Linked DNA regions of Arabidopsis thaliana. The protein of the gene in region 1 interacts with the protein of each later gene in a biochemical or structural test. Each region holds a gene or a part of one and is shown on either strand. Other genes may lie near its edges.

Evidence for each region.
Region 2: the proteins of FLN2 (region 1) and PTAC5 form a complex in vitro, tested with the Arabidopsis thaliana proteins (one study listed by BioGRID).

Annotation. Positions count from the first base shown.
Region 1 is NC_003070.9:26,014,475-26,019,141, forward strand, and holds FLN2 (fructokinase-like protein), read left to right. Parts: upstream 1-1,549; coding exon 1,550-1,590; intron 1,591-1,838; coding exon 1,839-2,173; intron 2,174-2,255; coding exon 2,256-2,908; intron 2,909-2,988; coding exon 2,989-3,460; intron 3,461-3,547; coding exon 3,548-3,891; downstream 3,892-4,667. Other genes in the region: AT1G69190 (Dihydropterin pyrophosphokinase / Dihydropteroate synthase), read right to left, coding at 1-107, 232-235; AT1G69210 (Uncharacterized protein family UPF0090), read right to left, coding at 4,109-4,408, 4,499-4,607. UniProt on the Arabidopsis thaliana protein: Required for proper chloroplast development, most likely through regulating plastid-encoded polymerase (PEP) dependent chloroplast transcription.
Region 2 is NC_003075.7:7,946,488-7,951,706, forward strand, and holds PTAC5 (plastid transcriptionally active 5), read left to right. Parts: upstream 1-2,091; 5' UTR 2,092-2,156; coding exon 2,157-2,729; intron 2,730-2,941; coding exon 2,942-3,037; intron 3,038-3,126; coding exon 3,127-3,240; intron 3,241-3,386; coding exon of another isoform or gene 3,387-3,440; exon of another isoform or gene 3,441-3,654; coding exon 3,655-3,901; coding exon of another isoform or gene 3,902-3,924; exon of another isoform or gene 3,925-4,063; intron 4,064-4,066; coding exon 4,067-4,104; intron 4,105-4,196; coding exon 4,197-4,292; 3' UTR 4,293-4,535; downstream 4,536-5,219. Other genes in the region: PRR2 (pinoresinol reductase 2), read left to right, coding at 1-143, 752-992, 1,112-1,315, 1,605-1,765. UniProt on the Arabidopsis thaliana protein: Exhibits zinc-dependent disulfide isomerase activity. Required for seedling and chloroplast development under heat stress, probably by maintaining plastid-encoded RNA polymerase (PEP)-dependent transcription.

The DNA.
Region 1 (4,667 bases):
TTTCATCAATCGTAAAGCTTCTTTGAAATTATTCATTCTGTTTCCAACATTGCTTCCCAAAGCTATCACGACTTCTTCGAAAGTTGTTGTTTCCAAAGATGTGAAATCTGAGTCATATACAAAACATGTTTCGAAGGTGAAATATGATTCAATACTTAACAGAAATTAGTGTATCAAAACGTAAACGCTGTTTTTTTCAACGAAAATGAAACGGATGAAAAAGATACGAACCCATTTTAGAATAGGTTCCTCCAAAATATCAGTATTGTCTGCTTCGATCTGACCTTAAAGTATACAAAACTATGAGTTTAGTCTTAGATAACAACGAAACAATTATTAGAAACACAAAAAATGGGTTCTAATATTTTAAGAACCAAGGAAGTAAACAATACTTATGTATGAGAGAGGCAAGGTGGTAGCCAATTTTCACCTACTTTTTTTCTGAACTTGTTGTGTTATCCAAGTACCTTCTGTCTTTCACGCTCGTCAAAAGTCAGCTTCTCTTTTGAATTAGATATGAAGATCTAGAAAAGAAAAGAAAAAAGAGAAGAAAACTTTGTTTTTAGAGAGATTTTGAAATTGGTAATGAATCTCTCATAATTTTGAAATTGGTAGTGAATCTCTCATAATTCTTTTCATTATCTATTCTATCTTTTACCATTTAAACATATATTTGGATAGATGATGGAAAATTGTGTGTTAGTCTCCAGCTATTTCATTCCATTTTTAAAAAATATCAAAATTTTCATAGATTTGTTCTGACTACATCAATTTTCTTTCATTCCACTCAAGGCACTCATGGTTACATTACCAATAGAAATTAATTAACCATACAAAATTCTAATTATTATAACTCCAGACGATATTATTTTCACTATATAGCAAAAAATAGCCGTTTTACCATAACATATATACAGTCTATATTTTTTGACGAAAAATAAATAAATATACAGTATATATATATATATATATCCTCGTGTTAGAATTGTATTAAGTTTTTCATCACACCATCTTTAGGCATTATTTCTATGCCAATCAAATCATTTACTCGTAAATCATCATAGTAATTATGATTTCAGTTAATCGTAAGTTTTTTGTAGCTTTGTGATGATGAGCCAATTAACTTCACAACAAAATATTTTCCTTGAAGTAGTTTTTTAATAGCAAACGATTTCACGAAAAACTTTACATAACAAATATTTCTACCTACATTAAAAGAATGTCATATAGACAATACTAAATTCACTAGCTTTAAAGAAGAAAAATGAGCCGTAAATAAATTATAGTAGACAGAATAGGGACATCTTGACGTTTTAGTATTTTGATCATAGAATGCTTGCCGTTTCGTTAAAGCGCTAAACCTCCTCCTCATCCTCTCCCAGCTAGCTCCTCTTGCGGTTTCAGAGCTTAAACCCCAATCTCCCTCAAAACTCATAAACATATTGCTCTCCTTTGTTCATTTCTGGGTTTACGCTTCTTTCGACTTTATGGGTTTCGGAGCTTAGTTTTACTACAATTTCGTTTGGAAAAGAGCTCTTATTTGATGTTCATGGCGTCTCTCTCCTTCACCCAATTCTTATCATTCCCCAGGTCCCTTTGCTTCTCTCTCTCTCTTGTTTTCTAACCTTAGGAAATTTTAGTATATGGGTTTCTATGGATTTGGCGTAGAACCAGTTTACTGCCCAAAAATGTGCGAACTTTAAGTTTAGCTCATCTTATCTTTCTACAGAAGAATGGAGTAACAATGATTTGAATTGAGGGCTATATTTGTCTTTCTGTTTGAAAATTTCACATTTTGATGTAATGGTTTTCTCATAGCTGTGCTTTGATTTTGGCAGATGCAATGCAGATGTTCCTTGTCTGCTCCAGTCGCATGGTTTTGTGAAGTTTAGAGGTGAAAGATGGAATGGGAAACAAAGCTTTTCTATGGCTGCTGGTAGGAGAAAGTTATCAGAGTCAGCACCTCTTGAAGAAGAAGGTAATGATGGAAACGGTGCGGTTGTGGGAAAGAAACCATCTAAAAGTGTTAAGAGAACAACGAAGAAGAAGGTTGTGGTTAAGGATGAACCATTAGAAGAAATTTCTGAATTTTTGGTTGATAATGATGATGTTTTAGACAAGGAAAGCATTGTCTCAGCTTTGAAACCAAAAAAGACAAGAACTAGAAAGAAAGGTAATGACTTTTACCATTTCTGAGCTGATGGTTCTCACTTGATGATTCACGAGTACTTAATTTGAATTCGACATATATACAGCTGCAGCAGCTTCTTCTGATGTGGAGGAAGTAAAAACCGAGAAGAAAGTGAGACGAAAGAGGACTGTTAAGAAAGATAAAGATGTGGAGGATGATTTAGCTACTATTATGGATGCTGAGGTTAGTGATGTCGAGGAAGCATTGGCTGTTGAAAGCACTGATACAGAGAGTGAAGAAGAAGAGATTGATCTGAGTAAACATGAAGGTGAAGATATTAGTCACACTTATGGATGGCCTCCTCTCGTGTGTTGCTTTGGATCTGCACAACATGCTTTTGTGCCTTCGGGAAGGCCAGCAAACAGGCTATTAGATTATGAACTACACGAACGGATGAGAGATGCAAAGTGGGCTCCAGAGAAGTATATCCGGGCTCCTGGAGGATGTGCAGGAGGTGTTGCTATTGCTCTTGCAAGCTTGGGTGGTAAGGTTGCTTTTATGGGCAAACTTGGGGCTGATGACTATGGTCAAGCCATGTTGTATTATCTGAATGTGTGCAAAGTCCAAACTAGATCAGTTAAGATTGATGGTAAAAGGGTTACGGCGTGTTCTACTATGAAGATCAGCAAGAGAGGTCGCTTGAAATCGACTTGTATTAAGCCATGTGCAGAGGATTCACTTTCAAAATCTGAAATCAACGTTGATGTGCTCAAAGAGGTAATATATTGTCCTGGAGATTTGGAACATTGAGTTTTTGGCTCTTTTTCTTGTTCACCAATCTCTTAACTTTGGTGCAGGCGAAAATGTTCTACTTCAGCACGCATTCTCTACTCGATAAGAAGATGATGTCAACTACGATACAAGCCATCAAGATATCAAAGCAACTAGGCAATGTCATTTTTTATGACTTGAATCTCCCTTTACCACTATGGCACTCCAGCGAAGAAACCAAGTCTTTCATACAGGAAGTGTGGAATCTTGCAGACGTCATTGAAATCACAAAACAGGAACTTGAATTCTTATGCGGAATCGAGCCTACTGAAGAGTTCGATACAGAAAACAATGACATCAGTAAGTTTGTCCATTACCCGCCAGAAACTGTGGAACAGCTTTGGCATGAAAATCTCAAGGTCTTGTTTGTGACCAATGGCACTTCTAAGATCCATTACTATACCAAAGAGCACAATGGTGCTGTTTCCGGAATGGAGGATGTTCCCATTACTCCTTTTACAAGGGATATGTCAGCATCTGGAGATGGCATCGTTGCAGGTACATTTTCACTTGTGTCATTTGTTTTTCATAGCAATTTGGAAGTTATGCTTGCGATTAACTGAACCACACTACTCTCTATTTCAGGTCTAATAAGAATGCTTACGGTTCAGCCAGATCTTATGAACAATAAAGGGTACCTGGAACGCACAGCGAGATATGCAATTGAGTGTGGTATTATTGATCAATGGTTGCTGGCACAAACCCGAGGATATCCTCCAAAGGATGACATGGAAGAAGAAGAAGATGATGAAGAAGAAGATGAAGTGGAATCAGATCCAAACGGTATAAGATCGATAACAGAGAAGGAATACAGAACCTCAAAGCCTTATGATGAACCAGATGGTCCATACGTTATGAAACCAGTAGAGGAAAGGGAGTACAAGAAGTTAGAGCTTGTTGGCTCAATGTTTGAAGATGGTAGTTTATGATTTTCATAAGATTTGATAATGTTTCTGTTAGTCAGCTTTTTTTTCCTGTTCACATCTTACAACATCTTAGTAGTGTGAATTTTTGTCATATGTTTTGATATCTCACTCACCATCTCAACTAATACAAAATCACTTGAAATTATCCGGAAACAGCAATGTGAAACTGCAGTGACGATGAACTTACTTTAATAGCAACTCTACTTCTACGTCTACTTAACTAATCCAAGTAGAGATTTATCTTCTTGTGATCTGCGAAAGGCAGTGTGATTCTCAAGTCCTTTTGTTTCCGGCTTAACGGTCTGCCTTTGCTTTCGGGATCTCTGTTCTCCCTTACATCTGCTAATTTCCAGACACAGTTATCTGATTCTGCATCTATAGACTCCAAGAGGAACACTCCACTCTTTACTGCTTTCCTCGAGTTTGTTTCTTCTACATAGCTTACTGTCATTGGCATATCCTTGAATCGGGGCAAGTCCTCTGGGACTCTCAGTAGCCTCTCCGCTCCTGGAGATGACACCTACACAGAAAAAAAAAAAACGGAAACAAAATTTTGTAACAAAACTGAACCAAGTGAGAGTTGATTCACTGGGGAAAGACTCTTTTTGACCTCAAGGGCTAGATCCTCTGGGATTACTTTTTCAGCCCCAGCATCATCTAGTCTTTTCTTAAATTCTCGACTAAATTCCTCAAGCTCATCCATGGTAGGACATCCATATCTTTTTTGTACAATAAAAAAGAAGAAGCTTTCGTTAATTCTCAAAACATACTGCTCTTTT
Region 2 (5,219 bases), on another chromosome or scaffold:
TCTCCGATCACCAAAGCCTTGTCTCTGCCGTAAAGCAAGTCGACGTGGTTGTCTCCGCCATGTCCGGTGTCCACTTCCGCACCCACAACATCCCCGTTCAGCTCAAGCTCGTCGCAGCCATCAAAGAGGCCGGTAACGTCAAGGTAAAAGGACTCATACATCACTAAACACTTTTCTTTCTAGTGTAGTTGTTACCTTTTTCATCAGAGTTTAAAGCAATTTAAAATACCGATTATCGTAGCTGGTATTCCAAAAAAGTTGCTTTGGCATATATACAACATAAATTAATAGTATATGTGTTAAAAAAATATGAAGGTACAATGTATCTGTCTGCATCAATGACATATGCATCTTTTGAAAATAGCTGATATATTACGGCTATATTTTGCTAACAATCGCAAATGAATTGAATTTAACTCTATAGACATATACTCATTTTTAAAAATTTAATAATTTTCTTGGAAAAGATAAAGATCCGTTTGTAAGATAATTGTGTAACACAAAAGTCACCTTTTTGGCTTACCAATAACAAAGTTTTAATAAGCTTGCATGCATTATTGTTCAAAGACTATCTAAAGGTTTTTGAAATAATAATAAATCATTTTAGAAAAAAAAACAAAATTATACAACCAATCTTGTCGGATGTTTTTTTAATAATATTGACTGTCTTAGCTTATGTTCGGTGGTGCTTACACTAAAAAATTAAAATATTTCAGTGAAACTACTTACAATAAGTTAAAAAATATTTCAGCGTTTCTTACCATCAGAATTTGGAATGGATCCGTCACGTATGGGACATGCCATGCCACCAGGAAGTGAAACATTTGATCAAAAAATGGAAATACGAAATGCAATTAAGGCCGCCGGGATCTCCCACACATACCTCGTCGGTGCTTGTTTTGCCGCATACTTCGGCGGAAATTTATCTCAAATGGGAACTTTGTTCCCTCCGAAAAACAAAGTTGATATTTATGGGGACGGAAATGTTAAAGGTTAGAAGAACTCTTATGGAACGCTCTCTCTTCATATTTTTCTTTTTTCTATTTGTGTCACTTTTATAATCATGAAAATTCTAAAAAATCTATTTTTGTTCCCATTGGTTTTATTATAGTGGTGTTCGTAGATGAAGATGACATGGCAAAATATACAGCGAAGACGCTTAATGATCCCCGAACGTTGAATAAAACTGTGTATGTTAGACCTACCGACAACATTCTCACACAAATGGAACTAGTTCAGATATGGGAGAAACTAACCGAAAAAGAGTTGGAGAAGACCTATGTTTCAGGAAACGACTTTCTTGCTGACATTGAAGGTAAATCTAATCATCATCTAGTAACCAAATTAAACAAACCTAGCTTTTGGATTATAGATTTCTATCACATCTCTTAAATAAAGCATTGGATTAATGTAAGGTTGGTTTAGTATTAAAACCGAAATGTAAAAGTTGGTCATGCCAAGTATTTATTTTCTATATATCACATCTCATAAATTAAAGTAGACGTTTTTGTCTTTTAGATTCTAGTAAATTATGAGAAAGAGTTGAATTTAGACCAAGTATTTATTTTCTATTAAATGTGAAAATGTTTATTATATACATGCAGATAAGGAGATATCACACCAAGCGGGACTAGGACACTTTTATCACATATACTACGAAGGTTGTCTCACAGATCATGAAGTTGGAGACGACGAAGAAGCTACTAAACTCTATCCGGATGTGAAGTACAAACGCATGGATGAATATTTGAAAATTTTCGTATAATGTTACATATATGTGAAACACATCGCCATTTCCTTATTTTTATGTTTTACCATGGCCTTTTGTTTTGTTTGCTTGAAGATGTTTTCCGAATTTATTTTAAAATTTAAATGTTTCAGTTATGGATATGTCTGGTTATATATAGATATACATATAATCTCAAGGGTCCGAAAATTTCCAAAAGTAAACTCAAGGGTCTGAAAAGATAATTTGGAAATTTAAGTCCTTTTCCTAGAATACCACCGATAATATAAGGGCTTTATACACAAATACACAAGAGATACTTCGAGAAGAGATTAAAAAATAAATAACATAAAAAAATGGAAATTATCTTCCCGCCATGTGTATGTGGTAACTAACAAAAGCTTCGATTACTTTATCCTCTCACTCTCTAATGGCTTCTTCTTCTCTACCTCTTTCTCTTCCGTTTCCACTCCGATCTCTTACTAGTACCACTCGATCTCTACCATTTCAATGTTCTCCTCTCTTTTTCTCTATTCCTTCTTCAATCGTTTGCTTCTCCACTCAAAATCCCGACCGCGAAGAGGTCCGGTGGCTCCGGGAAGAGCAGAGATGGATTCGCGAGGAGCAACGATGGATTCGTGAAGAACAGAGATGGATACGCGAACGTGAATCGCTTCTACAAGAGATTTCGGATCTACAGCTCAGAATTCAATCCCTAGAGTCACGAAATTCGCAATTGGGGAATTCTATTCCCGATACGATTTCGAATATCGCTGCTTTGCTTCAGGTTTTGAAGGAGAAGAATCGGATTTCTGAGAGTGGATTGAGCGCAACGCCGATGGTATTGGAGAGTACGAGAGAACAAATTGTTGAGGAGGTGGAAGAAGAAGAGAAGCGAGTGATTATTGCTGAAGAGAAAGTTAGGGTTTCGGAGCCGGTGAAGAAGATCAAGAGGAGGATATTGAAAGTTGGAAGCGAAGGCGACGATGTTCAAGCTTTGCAGGTCTGCTCTCAGTTTTAAACCAAAGGCGAGTAATTTGTCAATTTAGTTCTATCATCACTGAGAATTAGCTTAAAATTGAGAGATTAGGATGATGATTTGAAGTAGTTTAGCCAATATGCATAAGTTTGAGGTTGATTTTAGTTGAAAGTGTTGGGAGAATGTTTATTTTTTTGATGGTTTCTGTTGTGGATTTGGTTTCCTCTATGTGATAGGAAGCTCTGTTGAAATTAGGATTCTATTCGGGCGAAGAGGATATGGAGTTCTCGAGCTTTTCAAGTGGGACTGCAAGTGCTGTTAAGACTTGGCAAGTATGTTTTTATGCATTTAGCTCGCAGTGATTTTCTCATGTGCTCATGTAGTTTTGATTTTGACACGGTTCATGTTTATGGTTTAAAAGGCATCGCTTGGGGTCCGTGAGGATGGGGTAATGACAGCAGAGCTTCTTCAGAGGTTGTTCATGGATGAAGACGTAGAGACAGATAAGGATGAAGCAAGTACAATGAAGAAAGAGGTAAAAACTGAAACCACTAACTACAGCTCAGAGAACTTGTTCTATAGCATGGCTCGTTTCTAACCGACTTATATAATATGATAGATTTTAGCTGTGTAGTAAGCCTTTGGAGTAGTTATGAAGTCTCTCTTTACTTTGGTATGCAGTCTTCTTACGACAGAATATGGACTCCCATTGTATGCTTTTGGCAAGCTTGTTAGCTAAGATGATGTTTCTGTTGCTAGTGAGCTTTGTTCGGAATCTGAAGTGTCTAATATGAGTCTGAAATACAATTGGTAAATGGGATAAATACTACATTGTCTTGTTTGAGGTTTTAGGGAACATGAATATTCTGAAATTTCTCTTAATTTGCTTAATACACCTGTTAAGACTGGTTCTTTATACTGGATCTTTCTTTTAATTCCATTGATTAAGGAAGCTGGTAATGGGGCGGTATTTACTTCAGTGACACAAGTCCCTGAGAAGAAGCAATCAATCGTGAAAGATCAAAGTGACAGAGAAGTTGACGTTACTCAAAATCGGGTTTTTCTTCTTGGAGAAAACAGATGGGAAGATCCCTCCAGGCTCATTGGCAGGAACAAACCGGTAGACAGAAGTGAATCAACAAACACCAAAACGAGGTGCATCACTTGTCGAGGGGAGGGTCGATTGATGTGCCTAGGTAAATCCCTTCTCCCTGGTTAAGTGAAAATCATCCGTTCTTTGAAAGTTAAGAATGATTTTTCTTAGCAAATTGAGACTGCTAATAGACACCAACCTTAGTAACACTTCAAGCACTGAGTTGTAGCACATTATTTGATGATTATAAAATGAAAACTTGATGTAGAGTGCGATGGAACCGGTGAGCCAAACATTGAGCCGCAGGTGAGTAAAATCAAAATAACCCCGCTCCGATTATGTGTATGTATGTATTATCAAGTAGCCTAAAGCAGAGAAGCTCTTGTCCAATGTTGTAGTTCATGGAGTGGGTTGGTGAAGATACGAAGTGTCCGTACTGTGAAGGTCTTGGCTATACAGTTTGCGATGTCTGCGACGGCAAAAAAAACTTATAATAATGATTCATATTTAATTTAATGAAAAAACAAATTAGTTTGTTTTCCAAATCGCATAATATGGTTGTTTAAGAGAGATATATATATAAATTTAGTGAACAAGTACGTAGTTAGTTTGTTTTTCAAATCACACGAATGGAAATCGTCTTTTTAGGATAATTTCGCATAGGTGCTATCAAATTTTAAATTCAATTAATTTAAATTAATGTCAAACCGGAAATAACATTTTATTTTATATTTTCATTTCATTTAAATGTTTTTTATATATATTTAAACATGAAGTCCAATATCTTATATTTTAATTATCAAATAATATTCACTTTGTAAAATTAACAATAATAACTATTAATTTTAGGCATATTATTTTCGTAAGAAGAAAAATATTAATATCAATTTCCTAATAATAATAATATTTAAACACATCATTCAATTTAGAAAAAAAAACAAACAATATTATTCAGTTGAATATTAAACATTTATACAATATATTTTATTTATACGGAAAACTTCTTATAAAGTATTTTATAAAAGATTTGTAGATTGTACGAATATTTTCTACTTTTAAAATTATTATTTAAAATCTTTTAGTTGTGAAATTTTGTATGGATAGTGGAGAATTAATTGTGAGGATTGTTTGGATACTTTGATGGTAGAGATAAAATATATTTTCTTCTTGGAGAAAACAGATGGGAAGATCCCTCCAGGCTCATTGGCAGGTAAAATCATTGGTTATTTGAAAGTTAAGAAGAAAAGCTAGTATTCGTTCTTAGCAAACTGAGACTGCTAATAGAAACCAACCTTATAGCAAAAGGTTGGATCTTTTAATCCAACATGTTCATCGTCCCAACATAATCGATGTTTAAAAGGTTTAAAAGAAAAGACAAGACTCTAAGACTCTTAACTCAATTCCCATTTGAGATGGAATAG